Coturnix japonica: one gene and its partners. The protein of the gene in region 2 interacts with the protein of the main gene of each other region in a pairwise test. Links are inferred from orthologs where the notes say so. Each region holds a gene or a part of one and is shown on either strand. Other genes may lie near its edges. The genes, in order: TRAM1, ESR1 and PNRC2.

Region 1 (4,411 bases), on a different chromosome or scaffold from region 2:
AAGTGCATTTTCCTGTTAATTTTCTGAAATGAAAGTCCACTGTTATTTATATGTTCTTGTACTAAACATCACCTGTTACCTGCATTAGAACATCTGAATGCTCCAATGAATGCCTTAGCATTTTAAAAGGTAAACTTTAGCATTAAATTATTTAAGTTAACGGTCAAAGTCTGACTATTATCATGATTAAAGGAATTAAGTCTTTTGTACTTACATCCAATACATACTCCTGAATAATAGCGTGTATGATTATTGCTACGAGCATATAGAAGAAAATCGTAGCCAAGTCTTTGATGCCATAGTGATAGAGAGAGATTGTTTCTGCAGATTGTTCTTCTAGAAGACAGAAACAGAATTAACTGTTAGTTAGGCACTGATACAGTTTTATGGCCAACAAGTTTGTTTCTTAACGTGAAACCTTTCAGACAAAAGTCATTTGTTGTCAGCTGAACAAATCTAAGTCCAATTAAACCACCACCCTGAGCTAGGTCACTAGACTCCATTTACAGTAATCTTCTCCATCACATCAGAAACTCAATCTGATTTTGGAAGGATGTAATATAAAAATGGAAACTCAAGTGCACTTAGGAAGCTTAGACAAATGCACTGAAAGGGAACTATAAAATTACATTCAACTATCAGCCCTCCCCCCAACTAAGTAGAACAGATCATCACTTGCATAACCAGAGTAAGAATATGAACTTATTAACCAGTGAAACTGAGCTTCAGGATTGAGAACAAACCCAGCAAAGCAGAAACATTTTCCCCAACGCAATTAAAACTCTTAAAACTCTTTCCTGCCTATTCAAACTCAACTCTTTCCTGTCTATTCAAACTCAGTACCTTATCCTCAGTTTAGGGCATACAACACGTTAGCGGTATCTGAGGATACAACCCCATGACTAACCAAGCACCTGCAAGGCACATACATACCTGTGGCAGGAATGGTAACGTTATACTGAAGAGTGACAAAAATGACAGCTGCTTTGGCTGTAATCTGAAAAAGAAAAATGCACAAGTGCTGTAGAATCTCACCAACATAAACTAAAAAATCTTTGTTCTGAAGTCTTTTTGGGGCAGGGAGATGATACCTTCACAAAACAAAACAAAAGCAGCAATTCTTGTTCATCAACAACAATTGCCAAGTGTAAGACATTTTGCTACCTGAAGATCCCCACCACATTATTACAATGATTCAAAGGAAACTGGATTTCTTCTTAAATCTTTACTTTTTTTTCCCCACTGAAACAGCACTCTGTCAACAAGCACCAGGTTTTCTTGGAACCGTCTCTGTGTAACTTCTGAGAACCCAACTAAGCTGCCAGAATTGGTTCAAATGCCCAGGGCTTGCTATCCGTGGAAGGAGCCTCCAAAGGACTCACAGCACCAGCCAGTTCTGATGTGCCATGCCAAGGCTTACTCAGCTAACACTGCTCAGCTGAGCAAGGTCAAGGCAGCATCAATACCGTACCGTACCAGCACTGACTGTGGCAGGTGAAATCCAAGGCCTGTACATAAGCATTTCTGAGACCCTGGCAATCTGCTAAGCCTCACCATATGTATAACAGAGGCACATGATCCATCTGTGCCAAGATATAAAGTAAATGTCCTGAAGTGAAAATCTGGAGACTAAGACTTTGGCACACCCAACCCACCCAACGCTACCAGCAATGTGGTAAATAAGCAATAAGCATACACACATGGGAAGGGTTTAGGTCTGTATCTTTAACCTCAGACTCCACAAAACCACACTGTAAGGTCTGGAGTGATTTCTAGGCGACTTTTGATAGTAAAACCACACAAAGCAGCATTCTCGGTGTGTCCCATCTTTGCTTTTGAGATGTTGGGAGGTTTTCAAGCCCCACCGTGCCCCTACACCTAAGCAGTACAAAGGCTGGGTAAAACTCTGCCGAAAGCCATCTATCTACATGGGTAAAACACCCACTGGCTGGGGCTCTGAAGAGCCACAACCGTGCCAAGCGGACGTGTCCTACTGCGATAGGGCACGCTGGGAACACCTCACGACGGCTCTCATAAGGGAACCCAGCACGGCACACTCGGCTCATCACACCCACACTGGGTTTCTGGGTTACTCGGAGCTCCGCAGGCCCTGTGGGCCGGGCCGGCCGCAGTGAGCCGGCGTTGGCCGGGTGATGCTCGCCCCTCGGCCCGCTTGGCGGCCGTAGGTACACGTCACCGCTGGCCGCCCTTCCCCCTGCGGGCTGCGCGGCGCCGCGCGGCCTCACGGGAGTGGTAGTGCCGGCGGGGCCGTCCGTGCAGCGCACACAAAGAGCGCGGTAAGGCAGGGCAGGGCAGGGCCGGGCCGCGCCTCCCCGCCGCCCCCCTCCGCCTCCCCCGGTCCGAACGCGGCCACACGCCGCGCACCCCTCCCTCCCTCCCCCGGCCGAGTGCCACGTAACCCCGCCGTGTGGCGGTGCACGGTCCCGCTCGAGAGGAGGCTGCGGCGGGCAGCGCGTCTCCGCGCCGAGGCGGCGAAGAGGGCGTTCCCGGAGGGGCCGGGCCCCGGGGAGCGGGGACGCGTTGCCCGCCCGGGCTCCCCCCCGTACGGCCGCGATCGCGGCACCGCGCTGCCGCCCGCCCCCGGGCCGCACGGGGCTCCCGGCGAAGGGGGAGGAGGGAGCGGGAGCCTCACCTCGAACATGAGCCCCAGCAGGAAGATCATGGCCATGCAGGACACGATGTCGGCGTGGTTCTGCACGATGAACTCGTGGCTCAGCACCGGCGGGTTCTTGTTGCTCTTCTTGCGGATCGCCATGGCGGGCCGGGAGCTGGGCGCCGCCGCCTCCCCGCTGCCAGCACAGCTCTCGCCGCGGCCAGGAAGAGGCGGGGGGGAGGAGGCGGCCGCGCAGCAGAGGAATGGCAGCAGCCGCCGCTTCACCCCGCCCCGCCCGCCGCGGCCCCGAGCGGCCCTTCCTCCGCTGCCCGGCCGCTGGGAGCAGCCCCCGTCGCTGCCCGCCAGCGCCCCTGCCGGCCGGAGGGGTCTTCGGCCCGCTCGCCCGCCCGCGGGGAGGCGGTGGCTCGCCGCCTCGCAGCCCCCGACGGCGACGTGAGGGGCGGCCGGGGCTCCTCGGACGGCGCTACGTGGCTGCGACCGCCTGCCGGCCTGCGTTGCACAAAGCCGCCTTCGGTTTTCTCTTCCGCCTCTCTGGCGAAGTTTAGTTTCCATGAGGCCGTCGCTAGCTGGTCGTCGGGTGAACGGAGGATGCCGTTAGGAAACGGCATTCGTTGGGTTTGTTTATGGTTACGGCCTCGGGGTAGGAACTAACAGCAGGTTCCTGCCAGCCCATAGCACGGAACAACACACATCCAAACAACCTGGAGTCCCAGGACGAGAAAAGTTACCCCATTAAAAGGGCAAAAAAGCCCCTAAATCAGAAATATGGAAGGGATCGAGCATTTTTAACAGCCCTAAATGAGTTCATGAATAAAAGCTGACAGTACAAAGCAGAGAATGCCCTCAATGATGCATTTTAGTATTACAGGAAATCATCAGACATCAGGAAGAACTTCTCGATCACTATCAGTGCTGATAAGATAACAAAAGGTGACAAGGAATTAAAAATGCATCCTGCCACTTACCATCTGCTTGCGTTAGAAAGACAATACTCCAACTGGCAAGAACTGAACAAGATAATAAAGAGGGATGAGGGAACGGACACGGGGAAATGGTTTTAAGTTGAAAGAGGGAAGATTTAGGTTGGATGTTAGGGGGAAGTTGTTCACTAGGAGAGTGGTTAGGCCCTGGAACAGGCTGCCCAGGGAGGTTGTGGATGCCCCGTCCTTGGAGGTGTTCAAGACCAGGTTGGACGGGGCCCTGGGCAACCTGATCTAGTAAAGGTGTATGTTTGGTGGCCCTGCCAGGCAGGGGGGTTGGAACTACATGATCCTTGAGGTCCCTTCCAACCCGGGTCATTGTGTGATTCTGTGATCTGTGAATTAAGCAATTGTGAGAAGGGCAGGAGAAGGACTGAGGATTCTCTGGGTTAAAGAAGTTCCCTGAAAACAACGGCAAGACAAGACATCTTAGGTTGATCACTTGCTGGAATCTGTAACATCAATTTTCTGAGAGCTGTTTAGATTGACAGTGTAGCTGCACTGTACTTCATTAGGAAAAAGGAAAGTGAAAACCATTCAGCAGCAAGAAATAAGGTTCTGAACTTGGCACACAGGTGCCACCTAAAATCTCACAGTCAGCAAGGAGTCTTAAGGCTTGAGCAATGTCACAGATGCAAGTGTACGTCTTAGTGCAAACTCTGCTTTAAACAATTCAGAGACACCACATATACCACGAAAGACAAGTCTGGTCAAACTGCTGTTTCCCTCATCCCTCAAGAATTCTGGGTGTTGGCTGCATCACAGTATAGAATATGTAGTTCTTTACATCGCATCT
Region 2 (4,378 bases):
TATATTACTTATTATCACAGCAAGAAAGCGATCATAAACTGATCATGATAGAATTTAAATTTTTGTATGGCTTTGGTTTTAGTTTTTTACGCCTTTACCACTCATACTAGTATGTTACATCAGAAATTCATCATTTTGTTACTTAGACATCTTCAAATCTCCAAAATCTATGTGTTTGTTGCCAGATTACACTGCCTTATGTTCTCTTTTGAATTCAGGTGGGATTGGAACAGACAAATGAATAAAGCAAATTGGAAAATAATGCACTAAAATTTTTGAAAGAACTTGCTCTTGTACCTCATGATTAGATAATGAGATGTCTCCCAGACACCGAACACCTATTTAGAATATTTCTAGCATACTATTTATAACTGGTATACAAGAATAAGAACCTAACATTTAATTTTGTCAATATGACAACTTCCCAAATATGGTCTTTGTGAAATTTTTAAACAGCAAAGCTTTGTCTATTTAATCCTAACAGTACTATGCCTCGTAACAGACGATAATCATGGGGAGGACTTTGTTCCACATTTCCTATTACCATGTCAAATGTGCAATACAGAATCAAGGCCAGAAGAGGCCATTAAATCAGTCTTGTAACTCTGTATTCGGATAAACCACCTGCACAACCAAGATCATACATTCACCTAATTTCCACTGCTTTAAGCCTCATATATTATATACATCTAAAATGCATCTTGAAAGGACATGCCTATCCTTGACTGAAAACATCAGGACAATGGGAATACACCGCTGCCCTTTAATGCTTGTTGCAGTGCCTGAATGTTACTACTACAATGTATGCCATTTTTATTTTGAAGTGTCCCACCTCCGCTCACTGTTAGAAAATAAAATAATGCCATTTCCACAGTTCAGTTTTCATTTCCAACTGATTCTTGGTTTTTCTCCCTCCTCAAGTAAAAAGCCCTCACTTTAGCCCATTTCCTGCATGTGCATTTCAGCTTCACAAACTCACTGTTCAGCTGTTTACACACCACATGTCCCTTAAACGCTTTCTAACAGAGTTTTGCCCTGGATAATCATATTGAAAAATAAAAAAAAAATAAAAATAAAAATAAAATAAAAACAACATGGAATCTAGTGCAAAACACACTTTCACACCCACATCACTGTTAAACAATCCAGATACTCAATGTTCAAGTACATTAATTCCTCCTAGAGTTATTGCCTTCAGTTGCTCTAAAATACATTTTGTCTGAATCAGTTCAGCTAAGAGACATATTAGTTGGGCTGCCTGGCCTAACCGTTATCTTTTCACTTGTCTTTATTCCACTTGATCCCCAAAACCGATTAATCATTTGCAAAAAGTGCAATCACCATCTGTTTTTTTGGATCAGATTCTGCTACAAGATTATCTCAGGTTGCGTGACACTGTGTTTAATAACCTACATTGCTGTTCCCAGCAACAGTTAAGTCTGGCCTCGACAGGGAAAGGATAACCTGGTTTTATTTTTAGAGGGTCTCTCCATTTGTATAAAAATCACCTGTATTTCACAAATAAGCTGACATGGACAGCATTTAGGAGCTAACCGTTCACTTTAATTTGCTATAGTCCATTATTATATGCCAGTAAAAAATTAAGCTATTAACAGTGCACAAAGATTAACAATGTGAGTACTGGTGTGTTTGATTATATTTTCCTGGAAGCTACAGTTCTATCAGTTTCTCACACATATGTCAGAAATTAAGTATATGCTTTCACAATTTCCAGTGCGTATTAAAATTCTTCTATTGAAGGATAAATATAAATTTAAAAAGAAATCATATTTAAATTTATAAAAATTATTTTGAAATGCAGCATGCTAGATTTATGCTTAATATATATCAAAGTTTGATTAAAAATGCAAGGCACATAGCTCTTATTGCAGCTCATTAAAGTGGTTGCTGACTGAAATACTGTCATTGAATCAGTTCAAACAGTTTGATTTGGAAGGATATTGTGCCTGTGAACTACTTCCTATATAAGTCACTTATCCTGTAAAGGATACCAGAGGTAAGTAATACTCTTACTAGCAGCTAAGAGCTGAACAAACAGCCAATTGCACATTTTCAGTATGCTTCTAGACAGTAATTTTAATATACTGCAACAAGGAGATTGTTTGCCACTCCTTAATCAATTATGATTTCATGTTTTCCCAGGAAACATTTACACTCATTATCTAATTTGTTTCCCATTTACTTACAGTTTTCATTATTTACAGATCACAGGCACAGTAAGCTGTGAGTTACAGTTTTGTTTTATCCTCTGCTATTTTTATGGTCCCGATATCATGGAAGATTCCACAAGATTACACAGTCCTTTACACAAAAATGAAAGTGTAGGGCAGACATATTTCAATATTCTGATTTCTCAGCATAGCTGCTTAAAGAAGAAAGAGAAATTCTCTGTTGCACTTACCTGTAGAAGGCTGGAGGAGCAGTTTCCCTCATCCCGAAGCTGCCCTGTTCGTTTTCAAGGTAGTAGGGTACCTGCTGGCTGTGGTGATGGATGAAGGGTGAGAGCTGGGGTGCCGTTTGCAAGAACACCACTGGGCTTGGTGGGACATTGTTCAGAGAGTGAAATCCTGCCAGGCTGCTGGACCCAAAAGATTCAGAAGTAGGGGCATAACTGAGTGTAGTAGAGCCGTACACTGGAGCGGTAGTACCAAAATCGTAGGTGGCCCCTTCTGGGTAGTTAAAAACTCCTGTCTTGTTGCTTTCCACGTACATGTCGCTGAGCGATCGTTCCAGGGGAATCTTCAGCTGAGGTCTGCTCAGAGTCTCCAGTTCAGTGCCTTGAATCTGGTGCAGCAGGGTAACTCCAGAGGCTTTGGTGTGAAGGGTCATGGTCATTGCTAATGGCAGGGAGCAAGGAACATATCTGCTTTTACTGTCAACAGCAAGATCGGCAGCTGGCAGTCCACCTAAAAAAAACACCAGAACCTATTCTGAGGCTCAGCAGAAATCATGTTAAAGCAGCACTACACAGGTATTCCTCTGATCTCGGCGAGGAGGAGTATACAAACAAATGCAGGGTGAGCACTGGAAAGGCACATTCTCCCTCTCCCTCTAACTTTTGAGAACTCCTCATCTGCTCTAATATGCGTTACAAGGTGCTGGCTGCAAGCCAGGGGCTCTTGCCTTGTGCCGACGCTGATTTAAACATCACTTCAGAAACAATTAGTTTTGGAGGTACACCAAACAATTGTCCCACTAAATGTTACTTTATTCTTGCTAGTCATTTAATTTTTCACTGCAGGGCAGCCAGCACTCCACAGCAGCTAACGGGAAAGGACGCTGAAATCAGACCAGAAAGACTAGTCCAGTGGTCAGCCAGATTACTGCCTTTTATTTCCTCAGCAGGCTCCAATCTATCTGTGCTTATCTCTCCCTGTTTGATTCATTTTCATGTTTGCTAGAAATATGTAATGTGTACATTGTAATGACCCTGGATAGGACTATGCTGTAACTGAGATATGGCAAAGCAAAATGCATGTGCAAGCGCATGCATCTGTGTGTGTAACAAGTCTCTGTCAACAAAACTAGCTAACAGAAATTAAAGAATGTAAAAGATTTGTGTAGGACAAAAGGTTTATAACAAGCTTTATCAGTAACAGTGACCCAAACTAGTGAAGTGAAAATTTACATTAAAAAAAGTGAGGAAAAAATTTAGATTAGCCCATAAATTCCTGTCTGTTTCTGTTTTACCTTGTAAAACAATGAAGCAAAGCATCTTTCAGACTTTGCCATGGTAAGACCTTAGAAACTAGGAAGAAAGATTTCAGCGCACAAAAAAGGAATACAGGATTTTTTATTTTATTTTTTTCTATTCCCACAAACAAAAGCTCAGCAAGCTTAGATTTTGCTATCAACTTGAAAATAAAGTACTTGATTGGAATCAGTGTTAAAGTAAACTGAAATAATTCTCAAAGTTATCTTTAGGGGAAAAAAAAAAAAAAAAAAAAAAAAAGGTGGAGAAAGGACATAATGAAAAGGTGTGGCATGCATACCTCATCTTGCAATCTCATCCCAAATAATTTTAACTTTTCACAAACCACATCTCCTGAACCAGCTAAATGAAAACCTTCAGAAACCGTCCCAATTTCTCTAGCATCATTGTTGTGGTCTGCAATTCACTCAGTTAAACAGGTTAATGTTGACCCTAAACACATTAATATATGGACTTGAGTTAGTATGATTTGAATACGAGCAAAGCCTACACTAAACAACTCCACAGTTATTCAATGCAACCTTTGAAAAAATGCAAGAAACCAGAAAACTGAATGTATAGGTCACTAATAGCTTCTAGAAAAGTTTACTATAATCTTTTTTACCTTAGTAATAATATGGTGTTTTAGAACTTCTGTTAAAAAGC
Region 3 (4,370 bases), on a different chromosome or scaffold from region 2:
AAAATTCTAAATAATTATCTTTTGCACTGCATTTATTTAAAAATCATCCCATGACCACATAAAATGTACACATTCACTGTATATTAAGTCCAAGGCTACATCTATAAATGTCCTTTTGTGTTTAACAAAATAATTCTTTTCTTTTAGATCAGGCCACGTACTCAGCATGGCCACCTTCCATTTACCACTTTTGTTCTAAAAATACCTCTATGCAGGAAAGTCCAGCATAAATTTACATATGCTACAAAGTATTACACTTATTTACATGGCTCTCTTTTCCCTATGAAAACATCATATACCTACATAAGATACTGTAACTTAAAGTAATTGTAGAGTAACCAATTTAAAGTTATAAGTAACTACTCTCCAGCTTTCTCACAATTACAAAATTATACAAAACAGGAAAAAAAAAAGAATTTAGAACTTATCAGTGCATCAGAATACAAAGAATTTGGGGAATTTCTGGCAGTCACCTGGCAATGCAAAACGTGTCATTAACTGGCAGTCTAATTTGTTGAGGTTGCAATGAAATACTGCTGGAGCTGGAGATACAGACTTCTTTACTGTGTTCTTCCACCTTTTTTCAAGAACATGTAGAAATGTTTCTTAAAACTAAATTTTAGTCACAAGCTTGAGTGTCAGATCTCAAAGGTCTGAAAAAAAACAAATCCTCTTTGCATTTTCACTAGGAATTGCTGCTCAGAAGAGTTTTAACTAGAAAATCTGATAAAAGGTGAAAAGGCAAAGGCAGAGCACCTCATTAAAGCTTGCAGAGTGTTTGTTTTTTCCAGTTAATGCTGCATCAAGTTCAGCAAAAGTTGGCCTTCCAATGCCATTAACAAGGACTCTCAATTCCAATTTTTAGGGACAGTCCCATTAACTCTTACAGTAAATGGTGACAGTCTAGGATTTAATCAAATTAATGTAATAGCAAAATCAAGAAAGCACACAACTTTTGAGGTAAAACATTGGGAATGTAAGCGTCCCTACCTGCCTCCTTCTCTTCCAACTACATGCAGCAAGAACATTTAGTCCTGTTACCCGTGCATCTGCACTTCTGAATAGCTAGTCTCAAAGTTGGAGCCTGTAAATTCAAATAACTAATTGATAAATCTTTTATCATTTAAAGTTCCATCTCAAGCCTGGACTTTTAGCAATGTTTTAAGCTGAAATGTCATTATTTCTTTATCAGAAGGTTTAAAAGAAACAGGCACCCAGTGGCTTGGTGGCTTGGGAAGAACACTTGGTGAGGGTGGTTCACTAAACTTTGCTCCTGCATAGTTCTGATTGGTCTGAGGTGAGAAAAATAGGTTACGGTTTGACAGATCAGGACTCCAATTTTGATTACAGGGGAAATGAATGTTGTTCTTTCCTGCCTTCTGCATGGCCTGCCATGCACCAGACAAGGAGTTGCATCCATGTCCTCTTTCTTTCTTCATACAGGTTTTCTTCATCTGTGAATTCTGGTCTTTATTCTTCTGCCTGTTTTTAAGTTGTTGATGGTTCTTGGTAATATTTCTAGACTGGGGAACTGGAATGCTGAACCTCTCTCCGCCACCCATTTTCAAGTTAAATGTCACCTGTAAAGAAAGGGAAAAGTTTGTATTTTTCTTTTCCTTTTTTAAACCCAGGAAAACTGAACTACAGTGCAATGTGTCTTCCTAGTGGCAGATACTCCCTCTAAAATGGCTTAACAATTCTGCTGCTAATGGCTGATCTGCTGGTCATCGTGCACTGATCCATCCTTCAGGAACTGGATACAGACCAGTCCTTCATCAATACACAGCTCTGTCTACCTATTGATGAAAAAGCTGCTCCTCTGCACAGCCCAACCACTGGACGTGCCACTAATTCCCTCCACAAACTGCACTAGGAAAATGTGAAAGGTGCACTGTTCACAAAACAACGTCAAATGAAAGGGTTAACACTGAAGACATTTAAACCAAGCCTATGTTATACTTAGAGAGAAATCTGCACGGATAAAGGCATGCCCCAGTCTAACAAATACTACTTTTAACTGCTGATATTCCTAAGCAGGTACAGTCAGTGAAGGCAATGTAGGCATGAGATACGTTCCAGAGCAGATTTTTCTGGCAGGAGATGAGGAAGCAGCACAGATGTGAGCACAGCTGTGGGACACGAGTTAAAAACCACAACTGAACTGAAAACGTTCAAGTGTGAAGCAGCCGTTTGTAAGTGGACCTGAAAGAAAAGCCAGGCGCTGTCACGGCTGTGTCCCCTGAACCATCCCATCCCTGCACATCTCAGTTACCTCTCAGTGGCCGTTTCCGACTCCACGCTCTCCAATCCTCGCCCCCTTTCTTGCTTCCAAGCCTGCAATAGCAGGTGCTGCCTTTCGCTGCTCTCCTTCCTTTGGCTCCGGGCGCAGGTTTTCATGGGCCGATCCGCCGTATTCAGCCAGGCAGCCGAAGCCAACATCAGCTTCTCGGCACTAAACTCCAAGGGGAGAAGTCACAGCTGCAGGAAGAGTCTGGAGTCAGACACGGGGAACAACTTTTCCCCTTCAAGTTTGGAGCTACAAAAGAACGTTAGAAACGATGGAATTCACACAGATCCACGCCCCGACCCCAACAATGGCGTCACGAGCACAACATGGCGGCACCCGGCCCAACCGCAGCGCCCCGCCTTTACCGACTGCTGTCCGCTCCGTACACACACACACAACACAGACACACACACACAGACACACACACACACTCAGGCCCGTCCGAACCGACCCGACCCGCCGCTCGGTACCGTCACGTCCCGCCCCGCCGCGTCCCCGGCCCCACACAAAATGGCGGCCGCTCCCGTCGCCTTTTATAACCTCTCCCCCTCTCCCTTCTCCCAAGTCGCCGCTCTCCAGCCAATAGGAGCGCGCTGCGTACTCCCCGCAGCCAATGAGAGGCAAGTTTCCCCCGTCGGCGTGATGGGGCGGGGTCCGGTTCGAATCCCCGCAGCGCGGGAACCAACGGCGCCGCCCCGCGGCAGCTCGGACCGGCTGCGGCTGATCCCTCCCTCCTTCCTCCTCCCTCCCGCCGTTCTGCTCCCGCCGTTCGTTTCCCGCCGTTCTGCTCCCGCCGTTCGTTTCCCGCCGTTCGCTTCCCGCTCCCTCGTGCCGTTCTGCTCCCGCTCCCGTCCCCGCGCTGGCTGCAGAGCAGGAACAGCCTCAGGCTGGAGCACAAGCAGTTGGACGCGTTGCGGGCTGAGCGCTCGTTCCCCCGCGCCGTGGGTGCAGGGCGCAGCTCCGGCCGGGCGGGGGCGGCCGAGCAGCACGAACCGCACGAACCGCAGCCGGCACCGCGGCCTCCAGCAACGGGGCCGAACCCGCCGGGTCTGGGGCCGAACTGACGTTCCCGCGTTGTGCGCGGACCATAAGCGCTGTGCTCACCTTATGGCACCCGCTTTGTGTTCAGGGGGTTTCCAGTCTCCCCAGCACAGAGTCACAGAATCAGAGTCATTAAGGTTGGAAAAGACCCCCGAGATCATTGAGCCCAGCCGCCCACCTACCACCAGTATTTCCCCACCAGGCTGTGTCCTGTGGTACAACATCTAAACATCTCTTGAACACCGTTGTAATGTTCTTTGGACACTGCGTAAATGCGGGTATGGAGAATTTAAGACAGTCCTGGGAAAGCTGTGTGCAATTCAGAGACGTCAAGGTGCCGTTTGTTTAAGAGATGCCTTGGTTTGGGTGGCAGCGATTTCTGAGGGAGATTTGGGCACCTGAGGAGCTCCCTGGTGAGCTGAGATGGGTCAAAACCCACCTGGCTGCACAGTGCACCCGTCTGGGGAGACAAGGGCTGTCACTGAATAATGACATTGAGAATAATGACATAATGACTGCTGCATTTGTGATGTCCTGCAAAGAGCTGCAGGAAGCATGGGATGCTGAGGTTGGAGTGCAATCGCTGTGGTCCTGCTGGTTGCCCCAGAACCTGACGTAAGAGAGGAGCAGCTTGTTGCAACGCTAAGCCACATTTCAGCCCAAAGTCCAGGACTGCTCTGCTCCAACATGCCAAGAGACGCAAATCGGGATCAAAATGCTCCGGGTGCAACAGAAAACGCTGCAGCTGCCAATGTTTGTTCCCCAGTGAGCAGCTGGGAGCAGAGTGTGGGGTCAGGGCCTCAGCGGGTTCTGCAGCACATCACGGGCTGGTCGGTGGGTGTCACAGCTGCTGGGAAGCACAGAACAGCAGCAGTAAGAAGTGGGCGCTCAATGGGGAGGGAAGTAATGGAGACAAGTACGAACACCCTCAGGGTGCGGGCGGTGTCGGGACACACCGCGGGGCAGAGGCGGGTGGGGGCAGCACGTCGCGCAGCCCCGCAGCCGGGAGGACACGGCCGGGCACCCGCAGCTCCGCGCTGTG

Evidence for each region.
Region 1: the proteins of ESR1 (region 2) and TRAM1 interact in a two-hybrid assay, tested with the Homo sapiens proteins (2 studies listed by BioGRID). The link is inferred for Coturnix japonica from reciprocal best matches to the Homo sapiens genes ESR1 and TRAM1.
Region 3: the proteins of ESR1 (region 2) and PNRC2 interact in a two-hybrid assay, tested with the Homo sapiens proteins (2 studies listed by BioGRID and IntAct). The link is inferred for Coturnix japonica from reciprocal best matches to the Homo sapiens genes ESR1 and PNRC2.

Annotation. Positions count from the first base shown.
Region 1 is NC_029517.1:105,770,321-105,774,731, forward strand, and holds the start of TRAM1 (translocating chain-associated membrane protein 1), read right to left. Parts: upstream 2,941-4,411; 5' UTR 2,777-2,940; coding exon 2,654-2,776; intron 998-2,653; coding exon 934-997; intron 337-933; coding exon 215-336; intron 24-214; coding exon 1-23. UniProt on the Homo sapiens protein: Involved in the translocation of nascent protein chains into or through the endoplasmic reticulum (ER) membrane by facilitating the proper chain positioning at the SEC61 channel.
Region 2 is NC_029518.1:44,172,378-44,176,755, reverse strand, and holds the start of ESR1 (estrogen receptor 1), read right to left. Parts: upstream 2,857-4,378; coding exon 2,423-2,856; intron 1-2,422.
Region 3 is NC_029538.1:4,928,341-4,932,710, reverse strand, and holds the start of PNRC2 (proline-rich nuclear receptor coactivator 2), read right to left. Parts: upstream 2,869-4,370; 5' UTR 2,739-2,868; intron 2,537-2,738; exon of another isoform or gene 2,479-2,536; 5' UTR 2,273-2,478; intron 1,581-2,272; 5' UTR 1,563-1,580; coding exon 1,137-1,562; 3' UTR 1-1,136. UniProt on the Homo sapiens protein: Involved in nonsense-mediated mRNA decay (NMD) by acting as a bridge between the mRNA decapping complex and the NMD machinery. May act by targeting the NMD machinery to the P-body and recruiting the decapping machinery to aberrant mRNAs.